Linked DNA regions of Lepisosteus oculatus. The protein of the gene in region 1 purifies or fractionates together with the protein of each later gene. This does not show direct contact. Links are inferred from orthologs where the notes say so. Each region holds a gene or a part of one and is shown in the gene's direction. Other genes may lie near its edges.

Region 1 (10,509 bases):
TGTTGAACGCTACACAATCTTTAATTGAACCCTCTTCTTTTTGCAAGGGGTTCTGTTTTTTTTTCAACATAATAATCTTAAATAATTATATAAAAGAGGGTGGTGATTAACAATACACATTCCTCAACATCTGGCCCCCGGTTTAAAATATCAGTGATTTGCACTGTATGGATTGAAAATGATTAATACCTGCTTCAAAATACTACTTTTAAAATGGATATCATTAGCAACCTGTTTCTTTAACAACCTCAGAGCCACAGAGAATGAAGTACTATATAAGCACTGTGGGAAAATGATAAAAGAAGCCAAAATGTTAAACTGCCAGAGAAGTTTTGGGAGAAAGACTTTGGCACTTTTCCTAAATTCTTAGTCCAGTGTGAAATATCAGAATAATACATTTCAGCTTCCACTGGGATTCTGACCTGACTGTTTCAAAGGCTGAATGTCTGTGTTGAGCGAGACTTCAGGCCAATGTACAGAACCACAGTACAGAATTGTACAATATAAATTGTGTAATCTGAAAGAAAACAGGACTGGTAAGATGAATTCACACCTAGAGCAGTTTAAAGAGAATCAGGGGAATGTGCAGGAAATGGACCCTCTATACTAGGATTTTCCACAGTGTAGATTACTGCAAATGAAACTTGAAACTTTTTGTATTTCAGCATTGCACTAGAACGGGCATCTCCAACCGTACTCCTGGAGAGCCCCAGTAAACCAAAGCCAATGAGTCGTCAATCACCAAAGACGGGGAATAAATCACCTGCATTGAATCACTATTTTCTACATGAACATAATTTAGAAATCTGAAGATCAAAAGCTCCCTTAATCAAGCACTCTGTAGATTGCTTGATGATTACTAAAACATTGCCAGTCTTCAGAAACAGGTGATTTGGGGTTATCTATTAGACTTCCTGGATCGGGGGTGTCTAGTAGCAGGGCAGGGGACCCCAGTGATGCTATAATCTGTTCTTCGGCTGTGTCTAGACAAAAATGGCACACGGAGGGCAAAACATACTAGGAATTGCAGAACATGAAGGACATTTTCAGCAGGAATCTTCACCGTCCTTACATAACGACTCTAATTCAGTAGTTACCAGATGGAATACTTCTGCCTCCATGTCTAAGTGTGAACCCAGCTTTAGGAAAAGGCTCCTATGGGTAGGTCCTCAGTGACCTGGATCCCTCCAATTCCAGTTCTTTCGCATTCCAAGGTTTTGGACCGATCAGTTAGATGATCAATTTACAGATGTGGCTACAACAAAGTCCAGTGTTAGAGGAGACAGGGAGGTGGGGTCGTCTGGGAACCTCTTTGAGCTGCTGAAATTGCAGGAGCAGTGGAGTACAGATCCGACCCCCTGGGACAGGCCAGCTGGGTAAAGTGCTGGGTGCACACCCCTGACTCGTGCGTGCGTGCGTGTTTGCGTGTGTGGGGGCAGGGGGTGGCCGAAGGGCGGCGCAGGCCTGGTTTAGGGCGTGTAAGCAGGAGGGGGCTGGAACTGATTGGCAATGTCATAGTCAGCGGGGTACGTCTCGCTGCTCTCCTCCATCTCCGACAGCAGCTCCAGGGCCTGCTCCTCTTCCTCCGTAGGGTAGTGGCGCAGCAGGTTGGCGGCCGTGGCCAGGATGGAGGCCCCCCCGGCTCCAGCCACCAGGTAGAAACTGATGGCGAAGGTGACGTAGATGAGGGAGCCGTGGTACTTCTTGTGCTGCTGCTGGAGAGACAGGATGAGTTCGGAGGCCCAGTAGCAGAAGCCAATCACCGTGGCGCACTGCAACACTGCAGGAGAGGGGAGACGAATGACAAAGCAGAATTAACACAGCTTTGGGGCACACTGACATATCACACTTATCACCACTGCACACTTTCCCCAAGATCTTACTCAGCACTCCTTGAAAGTAAGACAAGATGTTACAGCAGGACTACCCATAGGTAATGCAACTGTTCCTTTCTGATGACATTAGCAGTTTCTTTGGGCTTGTTCCCTGGTTCTTCCCTGTGTTGGCCCGCTGGTCCAGAAACACAAGCTCCAGCTACCTGTGAGGATGTGCGCGAAGGCATAGCGGCGGGTGATTTTGAGGGCTGGGTGCTTGGGGCCGAAGACGTCCAGCAGGAAGGCACTCAGGCTGCAAAGTATGCCCAGGAAGCAGAAGGCAGCGATGACACGCAGCAGCAGGACAGTCTGGGGGTTCATGCAGTAACCTGTACAGAGGACGCACAGAGAACACGGAGGAGAATTAGTCTTTCTCTCTTTTATGGGATGAACAACAACAGTTCTGATCGCTGTCACAGAGAAGGAAACAGGAAGTGCACCATCTCAGTAGGTCTGCATTCCGTCTGCAAAACCAAGTCATTAACAACTCCAGTTTTCTCTTTAAGAAAGTTGGATGAATAGAACTAAGTCTAGATTTCATTCAATACAAAAAAAATACTAAGTGAAAAATACCTCCTATCGGCGTGCTGCTTTAAATCTGGGATAACTTGCATATAAATGTTCATTTCTTTCAAAAACCAATTGAACAATGCAGGAGAGAGCAGAAATACAAACTCAATCCACTCTGTTTTATCTTTCGCAATGATAAGACAACTTTGGCTTTTGGCAGAATACAACTTCCCTCAGCAGCTGCAGACGGCCATGCCTTGTCTGTCTCGTCACAATGAGTCACAGCTAAAGCTCGTCAAAGGTTTCAGTTCCAGACTCGCAGTCGTTCAGAACCACAGCCTGTTGCCTAAATTCACACGGCCTTGAGCTATTGCTGGTCATGCTCTACCTCAAGTTCCTGGTTTTGAAAAGATTCTTCCTCGTTTCTGTTGTTCCTGCTATAGCAAATCCTAAACGTATTTCTCAAGAAAACCAGGGAATTTTGGCAAGGTGATACCACAAACAAACGTATTAAATGTTTTGTGAAAAACAGCTCTTATTCCGTACTTAGTGCCTCACTATATATGACAGTAGACAAATTGTAATACAACTGACATCAACACAAGATCCTACGCTATAGTCTTGCAAAATCCTTTGTAATCTTCAGAGAAAGAGTCACTGCAAATATTACTCCGTACAAATTTCAGTTCCACTTAAGAGTCTTCTGGCCTATATCTGGTCTGCCTAAATCCATCTGTCCAGTTTCTAACTGCTTTATCCCATACAGGGTCGCAGGGAAGCTGGAGCCTACCCCAGCAAGCAATGGACACAAGGCAAGATACACCCTGGATAAGACACCAGTCCATCACTGGGAAAACACACACACTCTGACTCATTTTCCAAGATGTCCCTGGACTGTGGGAGGAAGCTCACACGAACACGGACAGAGCATACAGACTCCACACAGAAGTGACCCCAGGAACTGAATCCAAGACCCCAGCACCATGAAACAGCAATAGGAACCACTGTGCCCCCATGCTGCCCCCACCTGCCTAAATGTCCTCACTAATTCCATTACTGATGTAAAATCTCGGCTGAGCTGCTGGTACAGACTGGGTGCTACACATCACTCAGCTAGTGAAGTGTGTCCCCTCCGATGTGTAAAGAGCTTTTGGGATGAAATGGTTTAAAATTGCAAAAATTGAGTTTCTGATTTTAGGATTCCTTCATAATAGTAAGGTTTGAGAGTTTCTATGAGCTTTCTCAGCGCACAGGCCTGAAAATTATTAATAATAATAAATAACAATTCCTTACACGTATATAGTGCTTTTCTGGACACTCCACTCAAAGCACTTTACAGGTAATGGGGACTCCCCTCCACCACCATGATGTGACGGCAGCCATAGTGCGCCAGAACGCTCACCACACACCAGCTATCAGTGGGGAGGAGAGCAGAATAATGAAGCCAATTCATAGATATTATTAGGAGGCCATGATTGGTAAAGGCCAGGACACAGGAGTAACACCCCTGCTCTATTTGAGAAATGCTTTGGGATTTTTAATGACCACATAGAGTCAGGGCCTCGGTTTTGTCTCATCCGAAGGACGGTGCCTTTTCTACAGTATAGTGTCCCCATCACTATACTGGGGCATTAGGACCCATACAGACCTCAGAGTGAGTGCCCCCTACTGGCCCCACTAACACCTCTTCCAGCAGCAACCTCAGCTTTCCCAGGTACTGGTCAAGCTCACACCTTACTTTCAGTGGGCTGCCAGCTGGGAGTTGCAGAGTGATAAAGCTGTTTAACCATTAGGTTTCATGTTGGACAACATTACATGTTGTTTATGGGGATTTAAAATGTAAATGACATGTAACAAGTTACACATAATACACCTAGATTTATGACATTAGCCCCTGAATAAAATACATGATTCTTATTACAAGCTTCTTCCACAAACAATAAAGAACTTATTAACAGGTTTTACATCTCATCCGAAGGACGGCGCCTTTTTACAGTATACTTAATTAAGTCAATTAAGCTCAGATTTAATGGTGCAGTACGTCGATGGTTACCTTCCAACAGCTTAGGGTCCACATATCCCAGGACATCCGCTACGCCGAGCTCCTGTCGCGGGCAGGCCCCCCCGTGAACGCGCAGCCAGGCCGGCTCGGCCAGCGCAGTGCACAAGGCGGTGATGGACAGGGCTCCGGGCAGCGCCGAGGCCAGGCTCCTCTCGGGCTGCTTCGGGAGAGCGCTCCCCCCCGGCCCTCGCCTTCGCCGGCTCCCAGGCAGCCCGGGTCCCGGTGGCGCGTACATGTCGCCCACAGACGTGCTCTAATAACAGGCAACTAGCAGAGAAGGCGGTCTGGGTTTACAACAACCGCCCGCCGCTTTTAAAAGTGGTTAATTTAAATCCCGCCCGAGCCAGGCTTAAAACCCGAACACACAAATGGTAAACTATTCAACTATGAAATGATAAGGATTAAGTTCTATATTAAGACTGTAGATCTGAATGGATACTTAATGTATACACCGGCCGGGAAACAGCACAGAATTCCTTTTGTTACAGCGATTAGGACATTCAGCGGTCTTGCGTTTACGACGTCGTTAAATTCATTCGAATATTATGTAATCGCTAAACATTAGCCAGAAAAGGATTTTAAAATTCGAAACACTGCAATCAAATCGCATTAAGTAACAAACAACACTATCAGAATATTTTGGTTGTATGAACTATGTCTCTCGGCCTATGAAGACTTAACTAGGTAGTAAACTACAGTTTTGTGTAGTGGTATTTATCGACAAAAGTTCTGTACCCGGATCGGGTCTATATCGACTTGAATTACGGTGTCGAAAATCCCGGTTCCGATCTAACACTAAAATCATTAAATTATCGTCTAATTGTCTCTGGAAAACAAAAGACAACCTATCTCCTTCTGTGCTTCCTGTTTCCCGGAGGTGACAGCAAGTGACGTCTGATGGCGTAACTACCGTCCAAGAAGGTAATGAATTCTGGTAGTTGAAGTTGTTGAATATTTTCAAACTTTCTAACGGAAATGTATTTTATGACTTTTAAGAGGAAACGTAGTAACAGTAATAGTAAATTCCATGTTCGTTGACCCTTAATAGGCCACTACACATCTGTGAAGTCGACTGTCTTGTCTCCGCTTCATAGTTTCTCTGAACTATTTCAGATCATAAACTCAAGTTCCCAGAGTGCCCCTCGGCTGACTGACATAATCGAGGAGTGTGCGAAAAAGCACAAGTCTTTTGCACAGTTTACATTTCGGGGCTGAATGTATTAAAATATTGGTGTTATTTCCTGAAAAGGGATTAATGTAGATGTGTAACCCGTCGGTTAATCTGCGATTGTCTTCGGCGGTTATTAGCAGCTGCTGATAACTGCTGTGTTAATAGCGTTTTGTGAAGCACCGTAGTTGGTTAGCGTACAATTTTTAAGTTTCGGCTTTTACCAGGGGTCACCAAAGCACGGTTGTCATACGTATCATCATGAAAGACTCACTGAAACTGGTCACAAAGTTCAGCGGCCATCCAGATTCGAGGTGCTGGTACGTGGCGTGGAACCCCAATGGGACCCTGCTGGCTTCTTCGGGCGGCGACAGGGCCATTCGAATATGGGGCCGAGAAGGTATGTTCACCCGCAGGCGGCGGGCACTTTCAAGCTTCAGTCTGTGCGTCGTTTTAGCTCTGCTGACAAAACTGCGCGCCAGCTTGCTTAACTGACCTACTGCGCCGCGAAAATAAAGAGACCCTGGTGCCCATATCGAGCCACGACGTGTCTGTTACTGACGTGCAGTTCATAATTGAGGCATGTAAGAGTAAAAAGTGATCTGAAATACTGGACAAATACCGAATCTAACCTACCTTTCCGGATATATCTGTCAATGCAGGAACTGCTCACCGTTTATATTTTTAAGCATTAGCTGACAGTAAACATGCAACATTTAAATTCGCTTGATTTAGGAGAGTTCAAGTTTTATACTCAAGTTTAACTGGCACTGCATGTGTGCCGGAACGTTACCTTTCAGTTCAGAAGCATGATGTTAAAACAAATGGATAATGCGAACGCTCTTCAGCCGTCCTCCCCCGCGCATTTCTTCCCTGGATGTCTGCTCTTCCCTTACTCTCTTCCCTCCGGTGGCTGTGCAGGTGATGCCTGGGTGTGCAAGTCAGTCCTGCAGGACGGGCACCAGCGGACTGTGCGGAAGGTGGCCTGGTCTCCGTGCGGCACGTACCTGGCCTCGGCCAGCTTTGACGCCACCACGTGCATTTGGCGGAAGAAGGAGGACGATTTCGAGGTAACGTTAGCCCAGCGCCTGTCCGAGCAGAGAGAGGTCCTGACCCAGAGGAGTTACCTGGATAAGGACCCGGGTTTTTTTCAACGCGGTTAAAATGGGCGTTTTCTGTCTTGTCTGTCTTTCTGTCACAGTCTCTGACCACTCTGGAGGGTCACGAAAACGAGGTGAAGTGCGTGGCGTGGGCCCCCTCGGGCTCCCTGCTGGCTACCTGCAGCAGAGACAAGAGTGTGTGGGTCTGGGAAGGTCAGTACAGCGCCGACTCCTCTCACCCCTGCTGGGGCTTGCTTACCTGTTGGACCTGCAACCCTGCTGTTAAATCCAAGTTAATTGTCTTTCTTTTTTTTTTCTTTAAAAGAGGAGGAGGGTGGCTGATGTAAAAAGTATGGTTTATTTTGAAAAAATAAGCAGGGCACTTACATTTTTTCCTCAGTAAACAAACTCCAGTTGTTTTAGTTGCAGTCAATACACAGTTTTAAGTGAGATTTCTTTAAATATTCCCATATGTTTAGTCATTTTCTTCTAGTGCCAGAGGCAGTGCCAATATTCCACTTATCTTCTGTCATGTGATTTGACGGCTTATGTAATCAAGCATCACTTGATTAGTGGTCTGTAGCCACTGATTGACTGGAAAGCCCATCAGGACTGGTGGTCTTGAGGACGAGAGTGGGAGACCAGATTTCTGAAGGACCACAATCTGGCTGGCTTTTTTTCTGAGCTCCGACAGTGGTTTAAGGAAACCTGCCGGACTGGTGCTGAGTGCCAGCTGACCCGCTGTCTGTCTTGCAGTGGACGAGGAAGAGGAGTACGAGTGTGTCAGTGTGGTGAACTCCCACACTCAGGACGTCAAGCACGTGGTATGGCACCCCACGCAGGAGGTACGACTCTGCTGTCTTCCCCGTGTGCGGGGTAGGGCTCTGTCATTGCTGCAGTCTGTGATCCCCCTCTCTCTCTCGATTGCTCAGACCCAGTCTCTCCCACAGCCTGTTCCTCTTCTGCTTCCCTTCTTGTTTTCATCCAGTGCATAATGAAGTAGGCTTGAAGAAGACCTTTTTATTATCACCAGTATTTAGAAAATTATAGATTTTCACGTATCTGCCAAATCTTAAGGAAAAGCACCTGACGAGGTTTTTTAAGAGCTCGAAACAATGAAAAAAGCAGCTTGCCCCTTCAATGAAGGGTTTAAGTAAGGGTGTAAGGACGGAGTGGGGAAATGACTGCTGTCCGTCACATGTGATAAACTCAATAATCCAGGGGTCTATATGGAAGTGCATATAAATGGAGAACAGGAGGCGCTTCTTTACTGAAAGGGCGATGGGAGTCTGGAACAAGCTACCCAGCCATGTTATTGAAGCTGAAACCCTGGGCTTTTTCAGGAAACAGCTTAATGAGATCCTTGGATCCATGAATTACTAGCTGCCAATTAGAGTGAATGGTCTCTTCTCCTTTTAAGCTCTTAGCAGTTGATATCCTCTCTTTGTTTGCTGGAAGCTGCCTGTGAAGTGTAAGCGTCTCAGTTTGTAGACAGGCTGAATCTTTGGCGCAGCCGGGACGCTCTTTCCTTCCTTTCTAGAATATTCTCTCCTGGCCCTGTGGTTGAAAACTCCAGTGGTCTCAGCTTGTCGTGCGTCTCTCTCTCCTCCCCCCCCACGCAGCTCCTGGCCTCGGCCAGCTACGACAACGCGGTGAAGCTGTACCACGAGGACGATGACGACTGGGTGTGCCTGACCACCCTGGAGGGCCACGAGTCCACCGTGTGGAGCCTGGCCTTCGACCAGAGCGGCGAGCGGCTGGCCTCCTGCAGTGATGACCGGACCGTCCGCATCTGGAAGGAGTATCGCCCCGGCAACGAGCAAGGTCTGCAGCAGTCACTCCCCTGGTTCAAGTGTCCAGGAAAGATGAGCCTGTTTCATATCTCGGTTTTGGGACTCTGACGTGCCTCTGCAGGGGATTAGTAAGGACCCTTCTGGTTTCCCTTGTTCTTTATGCTGAAGCATGTTACAAGTTTGGTCTAATCTTAAATGCCTTAGGATGGCATGGAGGTGCAGTGGTCAGCACTGATGCCTCACAGTGCTGGGGCTCTGGGGTTCAATTCCAGACCTGGGATGCTGTCTGTGAGGAGTTTGTATGTTCTCCCATGCTCATGTGGGTTTCCTCTCACAGTACCAAAAAGATACCGGTAGGCTAATTGGCTTCTGTGAAAATTGGTCCTGGCATGTGTGTGCGCATGTTTGAGTCTGTGTGTGTGCCCTGCGCTCGACTGGTGTCCCACCCATGGTGTATCCTGCCATGTGCCCATTGTTTAGCAGCTTGCATTAAAATTGGAACGTTAAAATATTAAAATAACATTAAAATAACAGCTGAATCCAAGCAAATACCACAGTAGGACAGAGCCACGACGGGTGATGTCAGATGAGGAGGGTTTGTGTTGGGTCTGAAACGGTGTGTGTTTTGCAGGAGTGGTGTGCAATGGGACTGACCCCACCTGGAAGTGCATCTGCACTCTGTCCGGCTATCACACGCGCACCATCTACGACATTTCCTGGTAAGATTCCTCCTCCCAACTGGTACTGTTTAAGGGAGAAACAAACACTGTTTTACTCTATAGTGGAAATAGATGAACAAGATGCACTTCCATCTTCCCACATGGCTACAGGTTCCTTTCCCACTGTTTCCCGAGACTTTCAGTCCAGTCCCACTGCCAAGACATTTAGACCTAAAAACCAAATAGCAACTTTTATAGATTTTTTAAAATAGTTTTAGACCACAGCCACTGTATGTCAGAAAAGCTAGAAACAGACTTTTGCCTCCATCATTCAGTGCAGGCGGAAGTCTGAATTTCCCAGAATTCCTGTATACCACTGGTATAAGACAACTGTCTCTATTGTGCTGCCAGGTGTCACCTGACTGGCGCCATGGCGACAGCCTGCGGCGATGATGCCATCCGCGTGTTCGAGGAGGAGTCTTCCTCCGACCCCCACCAGCCCACCTTCTCCCTGATGGGCCATGTGGCTAAGGCCCACGCACAGGATGTCAACTGTGTGGCCTGGAACCCCAAGGAGGCGGGGCTTCTGGCCTCCTGCAGTGACGATGGGGAGATTGGCATCTGGAGCTACCAATCCCAGGCCTGATGGGGCTGGCCTCCTGTGAAGCAGGATCCAATAAAAACCAACCAGTGAGATACTTTCAGCGAGCATATTCAGCACTAACAGGAAATTGCCACTGATGGAAATTCCAGTTCCCCGTTTGCCTCAGTGTTAAAAAAAATACACAAACTAGGCTACTTTAGTTTTGCAATCCGGTGAAAGTGGTTGATTTGGGGGAAATCTGTGTGAAGATCACATCATCTGAATATTATTTTATATAAGCACAGGTATGTTTCATTTCTCTTGTACATTTTTGGCATACCAGGCTTTTCTGAGTTGTTACTGCTGTGAGGATATTTTTGGTCTTGAAAGGGAGACGAGCAAGGACCAACCCGAGCGCTTTTTCATATGTTTGCAATGTGTGTTAATTTTTAACTGATGATAATGGCACTGTAAAATGACAATCCGGCGCGGGTCTAAGGATTTTTTGTGACTTGAAAAGATTCAACTTTACTTAGTAATGTCACATTTATGCATATATTTTACAACAGGCAATTTAATGTACAGTGGACACTAAAATAAAACTGCTCCGCAGGTGAAGAGGCTGGATGATGTCGCTAAAGAGGCAGGCTTTTCTTCTCACTGGTTTTGAAAACTGCACATTAATTCCGGTTAAATAACAAAAATGCACTGTTACTGAGCGTTCTGGCATGTAGAATAAAATGCAATTCCACCAGAGTAA
Region 2 (10,506 bases), on another chromosome or scaffold:
CATGGCTGAAGGTCATGGCTGTCATGCCCAAGTACCCGTCCATCCACTTCCAGGGCATCGCGCTGACAGGCTGGCAGCGGTATGAGAGGGGTGTGGCTGTGGAGCTGGGTGCCAGGGACTGTGGGACACTTGCTAGACATGTTTGATAGGTCCTTACAAGATACTGTATTTGCTGGTGTATAATACCTACTAGTGTATAAGACGCACCACGGTTATAGAAAGTGTTAGAAATATTTTGGTGAATATATAGTACTTTATATATTTAATACTACAGTGACAGAACAGAAAAGTTGTATATTGTCATTACCACATTTCACACTTAGCCTTATAAAAGAAAACTTCAGTGTTTCATGAAATGAAGATACGCTATGTGTATGTTCCTACCAGCATGGAAAACAATATAAAAGTTTTACTTGTCTTCAAATATAAAAAAGTCTTCCACACATCTTTCATCTTTATTATTACTTTTGTACACACAAAAATGATTTTTAAATAGAGTATAAGAGTTTATTTGCTGTGGTATGACCAGGGTAACCTTTACTACTGATTATGGATTCATACACTCAGCACCTCGGCATACCTCACCCTATAACTCTGGGATATGAGATGCAGGGTGATGTTATAAAGCCTTTTTGAGGTGTGAGAATGTGTCTTATATACCAGTAAATATGGTATATTGTTCCAGAACCAAAAGCATGTGACTGGAATCAGGCTCATTTGAGCCAGACCTTGAAAATTAACGCCACAATGTTCAACTTTTTCAGGTACTAGTGTGGTTGAGGTGAACGTAATTTTATTGTTCCACTATTAAGTTATCTGTTCAGGAATTTATCCAATGTGCCTCACATTTGCACTAATTTATACAGGTGCATGTGTTACTGAAGAACCTTTGCTTCAGGGATTGGTGATGTGCAATAAAATCACAACTAACTTGTTGCATTCCTGTGATTTTACACCTTAATGGGCCTCCAGTCCTGTTACCCAGTGAGAATCAGAAAAGAAAATGTAATTGTGGGCAATGATCATGTTCTCTGTAACACCCACATGGTAAACACTGACCTACGTGAGACTTATTACATTTTTTGGGAGACTGCAGGCCCTCTTAAGAGGATTTTCTGTTTGTTTTTTATAACAAGCAGAAGATAAACACTGGCCTGATTTGAAGACGCTGAGCTGCCTTTGCTGTGTGTTACAGGTACGACCACTTCACCGTGCTGTGTGAGCTCTTTCCTGTGGGCATCCCATCCCTGGCAGTGTGTCTTCAGAGCCTGGCACACGGTCAGCCTGGGGGAGAGAGGGGGATTCTGGGAGTGACGTCAGCGTACTGAATTTGTTGTGTAGTGTTAACCAGAGGAAATATCTAATACAGAATACCTGCAGCCGGGTTCCCAGCTGTGGTGCTGAAATATGTACCATCAGATTTTATTGGGTTTTGAGATCCTAAGAAGGGCACTTAATACAATGTCCAGACCACTTCAGAATTGTTAATAATTACAATATTAAGACATTATGGCTTGTAACCATTCTGTGACCACTATTTTTCTCACTGTTGGTAGTTTCTACACTGTCTTTTAGTTAAATGTGTGCATCTGCTGTTGAAATCTGCCTTTAATCTGTCCCCCCTCCCCCCTCCCCTCCCCCCTAACTGTGCTCCAGGTGGGTTTAATGAAGAGGCGAAGAAGCAAGTTCTGCACATGCTGGGCTGCAAGAACATCAACCTGGAGAAGAGTCTCTGGTAAGGAGATTTCTGCTCCATCATACTGCTGTCAGGTGTGTCAGACTGCTCCTGAGCTCTTCAGAGAGAACCAGTTGCTTTTGGAAGGTGGAGTCCATACCAATGAGGTTGACGTGGCAGTGTGTCTATGGTATTGTGCGCTCGGATTATGAAGAGCTGCAGAAAAAACGAACGTTTTGGACAGTAAATTGTTTTGTCTTTGAACGGATCTTGTGATAAGAGTTCCTCAAGGCCGCTCCTTGAAGACAAACAAACAGTCGAGCCTGTTTTGTTGAATTACTGATATTGAAAACAGCATTTGAGGCCTGTGCAGGAGGATTAAACTGATCCACATCTGAGGTCATAGAACCCTCTTCCTGAGGTCTTGTGCTGTTGGTGATGTAAGAGAGTCAGAGCACACAAGACTTCAGATTGTGTCTGAGCTGTGGGTGACTCCGGACATGGCAGATGGCCAGAATTCCAGGTGCAGAACCTCTGCTTTCTGCCATCACTGTATGTGAATGTGCTGCAGCACCAAAAAAAACCACACACGAGTCTGATTTGATTTTGTCAAGACAGGGACAGCCTATGATTTTCCTAGGCAAACTGCACCCAAAGGTGAATCGGAGTCCTCTCTGTACCCTTCAAAATGAACACCGTCCAGGCTCCTGAGTGACACAATCATTAAAGGCACTGGTCCGAGCGGAGGTTGAGCTCTTTAAACTACGTGTCACGGGTTCGAGTCCAGTTGACTGTGACCAGGATCTCCCATGCGGCGGCACGCGATTTGGCTGAGCTCTGCCTAGGCTGGGGTGGGATTACACACAGCGCCCCCTTGTGGCCCCCCCGCACACACTGGCCCTCCAGTACCCTCTGGTGTGTGTGGTGTGTTAAAGGACGAGCGCAGAATGGGGGATTGTCTGAACTTCCTCATCCTACCCATAAGGTTGCAGGGTTTGGGGCTGCAGTTTGAAAATGCACGAATGGAGAGTTCAAAATCAGGTGCTTCGTAACAAAAAACACTAAAAATATGTTTTTTTTTTATTTGCAGCGAAGGGGGTGGGGCGTTCCCGGGCTATGAAGTGTACCAGATGGTCCTGCACATCAGAGAGAACCTGAAGAGCCAGATCCACCAACAGTTTGACAACCAGTGAGCTGCTGTTTCAGTTTTAGTTTGAAAACAGTCCTCTGGAGCTCAGAGCTCAGCTCCTGGTGATGAGAGTGATAAACTCACCTTGACTTCCTCTGTGTAAGATCTTATAGTAAGGAAGTCAGTAGTCATAATCCCAGCATAATAATTTTACTTGGGGTATTTCCCCTGTTGTCAATGAAGGGCTGAAGCATTGGATAGAATTAAGACGGACAAACAGTGAACCTTGTTTTGTTTTAAAGAAACCTGCTTTAAAATAACAGATTATTTTGTTTTTCTGATGGATTTTGTACATCCAGAAGTCCGCTGTTAAACTCGTCGGTTTAAAATGCTTTAAATGAATTAATTTCAATTGAATGCGCTCATTGATTCTCCAACAGACACTTGAAAGGCTGGTTCTCCCGCTACCACAGGAAGTACAAGTTTGGGAATCCTCGGAACATGGAGTTTTTCAAAGACAAAATGAGCAAGTAAGTCAAGAAGGTCTCAAGACTGGCCAGTTCGAGCAGCTGTTACTGTGACCTGAGAACTGCTCAGCAGTCTGACAAGAGGGTTACAGCAGGGAAACAAGAATGGCCCAATCTACAGTAGCAGGCTGTATGCAATATGTCACCTGTACATTTTCAATTTGGAAAGACCTGGTAAACATGTGAGTTGTGATCAAGTTAGAAAATTGATTTCCTTCCCTCAGGAATGTCCAGCTGGGGTCCTTGAGCCTGGCCAATAGTAATGTACTTATAAATCTTCTGCTTAATTGCACACATCACATGCTTCAGTGGTCAAACTGATAGTGTTCCAAGTGTCTGGTGATTTGAGGTTGAGCTGTTTAACCTGATTGTCAGTGGTTCGCTCGCCCCTTAGTGTCGACTCTTTCTAGCCCTGAAATGTAAAAACTGCGTTGCAGTTGCTCTTTAATGCAGGTGCACTGTAGTCTCATTGTTATTTGGAAACAGAGCTCTGATCTGTGGCTGTGAAGTCTCGGGAGGGATCTGGGTGGTACAGTGGGGCAGACGTGCCCGTGGCTCAGGGGGGCTCTGTGCTTGTGGCGCAGGTTGCTCGAGGAGTGGGAGGACTACCTGCAGAACTTCCGCACCCAGATGGAGGCCATCTACTTCGCCGACACCGTGGAGGAGTGGATGGAGGAGAACGTCAACGAGCACATGGACAAGCTGAGGGAGCTGGCCGCCGACTTCGAGCAGGTCATCAAGAGCAGGGGCGGCCAAAAACCCCTCTGAGGGCAGCAGGACGTCCCCGGAACCGGACGTGGTGGTGGTGGGTGGGGGCCGCGGGCCGTAGAGACGGACTGTTCTGGCTGGACCATGTGCTCCTGTTCCATTGCCCAGCATCTGAGAGGGACAGGGGGCGCTGGAGAGCGGTGGAGGAGACTCTGCCCTCCTGCCTGTGTGCACGTGCCCCCAGTGGCACTTCATGACACCTAATAGGGGCAGAGGGCACAGAGTGTTTAAAAGATCACTTCTTTTTTATTAAGAACATAATGTACATATTGAAGACAACCCTAGAGTTTCGTTGTTGAAACCAAAGCCTCTGTCATAAGATCTAAACTCGGATCAGAAAGGCCAATTAACTAACCCTATTGGATTGACGGGGGCTCCATTCCTCACTGCACTTTTACCTGATTTATAAACCCCAGAAGCTCCCTAGAGAAGAGGGGGCTGTAACCCTGGATATTTTCTGTTTCCTTGTATTACAGCCTCCTGGTGCAAGGAAGTCAATAGGCTGGGGGGTGCATACAATCCAATATTCCTGAGCACTTCAACGGGAATTTTGTTTTCCATGCAGTTTACAATCACTGCATTGCCACTGCAGTTTTTTTACTTTGCTTTTAGAAAAGTTGATATTGCTAAAAAAGTAAATATGTTCTCTAGGGGAAAAAACAACAACATTTAAAGCATGGGTCTCTTCTGTTTCCAGCTTCCTCAGAAAAGTACTTTCATTATCTCTCTTACTTCAGCTCAGGGTTTTTTCTTACTGTAAAATAGAGCTATTCCTTCTGATTATAAAATGTAACACGGATCTGGTAAAAAAAAATAAAACCTAATAGTGATGAGAATTTATGTTTTGTGTAGCACACTTAGAAAACTGTTTAAAAGTCTGGAACAGGGGCATGATACTCAAAGTCATTTATTCTATGAGCCTGAAAATCACTGAGTTCAAATAAATAACTGTGAAATAAACTGGAGGTTTATGTTTAGAATATTTTGAGTCTCTTTTTTTCTGTTCCACTGTGTAACTTGGCTGATTTGATCGTAAGAGGGGCACAAGGTAACCAGGTTAAGTTCTCAGCTCTGATTTATTTTGAGTTTGACACTGTATGTTCCATTATGGTTCAATATTAAAGATCAAAAGTCAAAATGATTGTCCAATTATGCTCCTCGCTTCACGAACGACAACAGCTAAGTACCCGCTGTGCTCCGTTGTGTTTTGGTTGGTCAATTATGCAAATCTGATAATGATATTGTATGTTATACGATTTGTTTTTTGTTTGCGTTAAAATTAAAGATGAACACAAATACACAAAAGGGAATGTCTGCCTGCCTCTGCAGTCCTGCTAGGTGTAGGCTGCGTAAAAGTATTTCCAGTTTCAATGTTATTCTGGATCCTTAAAACCACAGTAGTTTTTTTGAATGTTTTTCGAATGGAACTGTCCACCTGCTTTTGAACCCTTGAACTAATTAAAGGCGTTTCTAGTGATGTAATAATAAATATAATGTAAGCGAATTTCGCTCTAAACTGAGCCGTGCGTAAAAATATTTTGTATAGTCAGCCGTTTTAGACACTAATCCACTTGAACCGCTTACCTTGACGCCAAAGAAACTGCGACCTCTGAAGGACATCCGAGGTACAAGTGTTAATTTTGCGACAGTACGGCACGAAACGTACAGTACGTATCGTGTTTCCAAGTTACAAAATAACAAACCAACGCACGGCAGCGTGGCAGGAAGATGGCTTCTCATTTTAGTGGAGTTTTGCAGCTGACAGATCTGGACGATTTTATTACTCCGTCCCAGGTAAGAGAACGTTTTTAAAATTTGAGTTGTCGGAATCAAGTCCGTTTTTTTTATTCATCCAGTTCTTCGAATGGGAGGAAGGCAATCAGTTCTCGCCGGGTTTTTTTTTTACAGGAACATAGACCGCAAAAGTGAAATTGTTGAGGTTAAATTTAAGGTATAAGGTTAAATATTTTTTTCCCGACATTCAGAACACGTTCCCTGGTATAAATGTGAATGGACCATTATGTGTTTTCTAACCTGTTTAACACGAGATCTGGTCCCGAACTTCATATTATATATCGACGTTAGCAGGGTTGTGCGACTGTCAAGCTTTCGACGAATCAATTCAAACCGCTGTGTCTTACTTGTGAAAATAGTTTTCCTATTCCTGCTGGCATCTCGGATTACACAACGTAATTTCTGTGTTAAACCTCTCGAGTTAATAAAAGCAAAGTCGCTTTCGAGGACATTGTGTGATGTGATAGTACTGGTTTTAAATAAGATACTTCAAGAGCAGGCTCTTTCTTTCTTGTGTCACCTTAGCTAATGTAGCAGGGCTGTATAACTCCAGTGTGAAATAACTGTTACGTTGGGCCAGTTCAGTTTTTTAGTGCTTTTCTGGACACTCCACTCAAAGCGCTTTACAGGTAATGGGGACTCCCCTCCACTACCACCACCAGTGTGCGGCCCCACCTGGATGATGCACCAGTCTGCTCCCCACACACCAGCTCTCAGTGGGGAGGAGAACAGAGTGACGAAGTCAAGTCAGGAGGAAATTTGGCCAGGACACTGAGGTTAACACTCCTTCACTGTTTGGAAAAAATGCCCTGGGATTTTTACTAACCACAGCGAGTCAGGAGCTCAGGTTTTACACCATTACTATACTGGGTCATTAGGACCCACACAGGCTGCAGGGTGAGTTGTTGGCTTCTGGGTGTTTTATATATTGTGAGATCCTTTAAATGCAGAGATCAATCACTTCTTTCTAGTACAGAGCTGTTTATAACTAAGGAGGCGCAGAAACAACTTTGGCATCTGGACTCCTAGGACTGAGGCTTTCAAACCCCTGTTGTATAGTATCACCTTGCCAAGGAAGATTAAACCAGGCAGCTTTCCGCTGAAATTCGACTCCCTCCTCTGCTCTAAGCATAAAGCGCTTGTCTTCCGGAATATGTTGGCAGCGGTGTAGCTAACTTGTTACACCCTTTCGTGTGTTGGGAGTGTTTTTTTTTTCTGTTGTTGCGTCACATGTTTAACATGTAGTGGACAAGTTTTGTCTGAGCCCCTGTTCACAGCGGTTAACTGCCCCGAAAGCCTGGAGTCTAGTGATAAGACACTTCTTGTGTGCTGCCCAGAGATGACTCGGTATCTCTGTGCCGCCAGAGAGTTACACTGTGCAGGTCAGACCCTGTACTCTGTCTGTGAGAGGGATAGCTGCACATCCTCCAGAGTCTGGTGGCAGAGGAAAGCTCAGGACCCTCCTGCCTCAGGCTGGCCCACTGCTCGCTCTTCCTGACTGGGGGGGGAAGGGCCTGAAAGAGTCAGAGCAGGGCTGGAGCAGGCCGGGAACTCTGAACCCACTTGGCACAGCTCACGCCTGGAGGTCCTGGGCAGAGGGCACCTCCCTCTCAGAGATGTGCAGAGGGTGAGGTAACGCCATGGGTATCAGGCAGTTATACTCTCACTCAACTGAGGGCTTTGCTCCCTGGCTCTAGCTTCAAAAACCAACAAGTCAGGGCTTGTTCCTCACTGACACGCAGGAAGAAGAGGAACAGGAATGTTTCAGCTGTCTTCAGGTGTGACAGGTGTGTGTCTTTGCCGGCACAGCTCCCCCCCTCGAGCGGCTCAAAAACTGTCCAAACTTTTAATAATAATAATCATTAATAATTGCTTACACTTATATAGCGATTTTCTGGGCACTCCACTCAAAGCGCTTTTACAGGTAATGGAGACTCCCCTCCACCACCACCAGTGTGCAGCCCCACCTGGATGATACAACAGCAGCCATAGTGTGCCAGAACGCTCCCCACACATCAGCTATCAGTGGGGAGGAGAACAGAGTGATGAAGCCAATTCATAGACGGGGATTATTAGGAGGCCATGATGGCCCAGGAGGTCTCCCATCCAGGTACTGGCCAGGCTCACACCTGCTGAGCTTCAGTGGGTTGCCAGTTGTGAGTTGCAGAGTGATATGGCTGCTGGCTTTTCCTGGTTGTTGAGTTTTTCTGAGCTCTGGCCTTGCCTCTTTTTGTGAATACCTCAGGAGTGCGTTAAGCCGGTGAAGGTTGAGAAGAAACGGGGGAAGTCGGTGGCCAAAATTAAAATCGAAGACGATGGGAGCTACTTTCAGGTTAACCAGGTGAGGAGACCAATTTTAAAGGAAGACCAATTTCACATATGACAGCTGTGTGTTAGTTGGCGAGTTATAATCCTGCAAGTACAAGAGGTTCTTTACTTTCACTCCTTCAAGCAGTAAGTGAATGAATTAGTCTGGCGATGGGGCTGTGTTGATGCCACAGTAATCCTGCTCATTATGAGGAGGTTTAGAGATTTGATGTTGGGCTGCGAAGACAATAATGCAAAGCTGCCGTCGTTGGGGATTTTGACTGACCCTGAGAAACAGAAATGCATCTTCTCTTTGTTTTAAGTAGAGATCTTTTCTGGAATTATGGTGTCAGCCAGCCTGAGCTGCCTGAGGGCTTGTGTGGCCGGGCCATGGGTAGCCTGGGTAGTCTGGGTAACCTGGGTAACCCGGTTGCCTGGGTTACCTGGGTTGCCCAGACCGTAACGCTGCCCGTCTGTGTGTGTGTGTGTTTCTGGGCAGGATGGTGGGCTGCAGAAGCTGGAGAAAGCGAAGATCACGCTGAACGACTGCCTGGCCTGCAGCGGCTGCATCACATCCGCGGAGAGCGTCCTGATCACGCAGCAGAGCCACGAGGAGCTGTACAGGGCCCTGGAGCACAACAAGGTTCCCCGCAGCGCGCACGCCCACACCCGTGCCATGCAGTAACAAATGAATCAGTGGGCACAAAAGGACATTTCAGGGAATTGCATTTAAAATGAGAACAGGAGGCACATCTTTACACAAAGAGTAGTGGGAGTATGGAATCGGCTACTGTGTTGTTGAAGTGGATACCATGGTGTCTTTCAAGAAACAGCAGGATGAGATTTCTGGGATCTGCTTTTAACTAGATGGGCTGAAAGGCCTCCTCTCGTTTTTCTTACTTTCCTCTGGCTGTGAGACTAGATTTTGAGAGGGTCTGAGAGCTACATATTTTACAGAACGGCTGCCAAAGGCCTTTAATACAGGAATAAGGAAGCAGGAGCACACAGCCGTCTTGGAGAAGATGCCCCACTCACCTGCCACACAGCTGCAGAGATGGAAGGGCTTAAGAGACAAGATAGAGGTTCTGGACTTTTACAAGACTGTAATGAAAACCGTAGGACTCAAAGTACATGCAGTAGTTGGTCATTCAAAAAATAATTCAAACACGTCATTTTTATTTCTGAATGTTCAATTTTTTCGCCAGCTTGCAAAGCCATGGTGAATTATTATTTCTGGGTCCAGCTTGGCGCTGTTTAGGTACTGCAGTAGGTCTGGAGTGCCAGTTAACCAGCTTGTTTTGTGTTCTCACCTGACCACAGATTTACGCCTTAAAAAGACAAATGCACAGCGCTGAACTGCTGTGCTTACAATAAAATCGTACAACAACTTCAGTCATTCATATTCAGAATGTGGCATCATTTTTCAGTTTTCAAGAACAGAAAAAAAGACTAAAAATATTTCATGTTAGAGAGGGAGGTCTGTGTTTTTCCATAGGAATTGGATTTCTAGGACTCTTGCTTTTTGAGATAAAGTTTACAGCAGCATCTGATCCACTGCAAGTGATTCGTAGTGCCTGTCTAATTCATTCGAAAGTTGCTGATTATCTGAGGGATCTGCTCCCTCAGTGTGTGAAGGGGTTCCAGTCTAAGCTGGGGTGGATGATATTCTGGGCCCAGCAGAACTGTGCTGTCCGGGAATGGGACCCGTACTGAGGTTGGACATGATCTCTGTCTCACAGCAGATGGGTGCTCCGCAGAAGGTGGTGGTGGTCTCCGTGTCGCCCCAGTCCAGGGCGTCCCTGGCTGCCCACTTCAACCTGAGCAGCTCGGACACGGCGAGGAGGCTGACGTCTTTCTTCAAGAACCTGGGTGAGCAAGTGGACAGACCAGCAGGCCACAGGGTTGTGCTCATCAGTGTGGATGAGCATCCAGTTAATGGCATCAGGAGATCATAAAAGTCATTTTTCTTTTTTTCAGTTGGATTAGTTATGGTTAATCTGATCTGTACTCCCTGGCATATCAGTATGCCTGTGCCTTTATTTATAGCACCGGGGCCGAAGGCAAGTGATTTTGGTACAGATTGTGTAATAATGGCAGATAAAACAAAACAGCAAGCCTCCGAAATAGCTTCTTCTCCAGAGCCGTCAAGCTGGTGACCTCCCCAACTCCCAGCCACCAAACCATGATCTCTCCTCACTTCTTCCTGTGACCACACAACGACTGTACTCCCACACCACTACATACACCATAACTCTGAACTTGGACATAAAACTGCACTTGATTGAGTTGCACTATTTGATAACGCT

Evidence for each region.
Region 2: the proteins of ciao1 (region 1) and narfl purify together in Homo sapiens (affinity purification with western blotting; 3 studies listed by BioGRID and IntAct, with this or other methods). This does not show direct contact. The link is inferred for Lepisosteus oculatus from reciprocal best matches to the Homo sapiens genes CIAO1 and CIAO3.

The regions. Positions count from the first base shown.
Region 1 is NC_090697.1:70,187,540-70,198,048, forward strand, and holds ciao1 (probable cytosolic iron-sulfur protein assembly protein ciao1), read left to right. Parts: upstream 1-5,596; 5' UTR 5,597-5,875; coding exon 5,876-6,014; intron 6,015-6,535; coding exon 6,536-6,684; intron 6,685-6,815; coding exon 6,816-6,927; intron 6,928-7,470; coding exon 7,471-7,559; intron 7,560-8,336; coding exon 8,337-8,538; intron 8,539-9,138; coding exon 9,139-9,226; intron 9,227-9,577; coding exon 9,578-9,812; 3' UTR 9,813-10,509. Other genes in the region: tmem127 (transmembrane protein 127), read right to left, coding at 1,470-1,780, 2,039-2,203, 4,438-4,681. UniProt on the Homo sapiens protein: Key component of the cytosolic iron-sulfur protein assembly (CIA) complex, a multiprotein complex that mediates the incorporation of iron-sulfur cluster into extramitochondrial Fe/S proteins.
Region 2 is NC_090714.1:11,350,650-11,361,155, reverse strand, and holds the start of narfl (cytosolic Fe-S cluster assembly factor narfl), read left to right. Parts: upstream 1-5,787; 5' UTR 5,788-5,827; coding exon 5,828-5,893; intron 5,894-8,138; coding exon 8,139-8,234; intron 8,235-8,699; coding exon 8,700-8,843; intron 8,844-9,939; coding exon 9,940-10,069; intron 10,070-10,506. Other genes in the region: hexosaminidase D, read left to right, coding at 1-79, 1,196-1,278, 1,657-1,735, 2,766-2,864, 3,245-3,334, 3,916-4,099.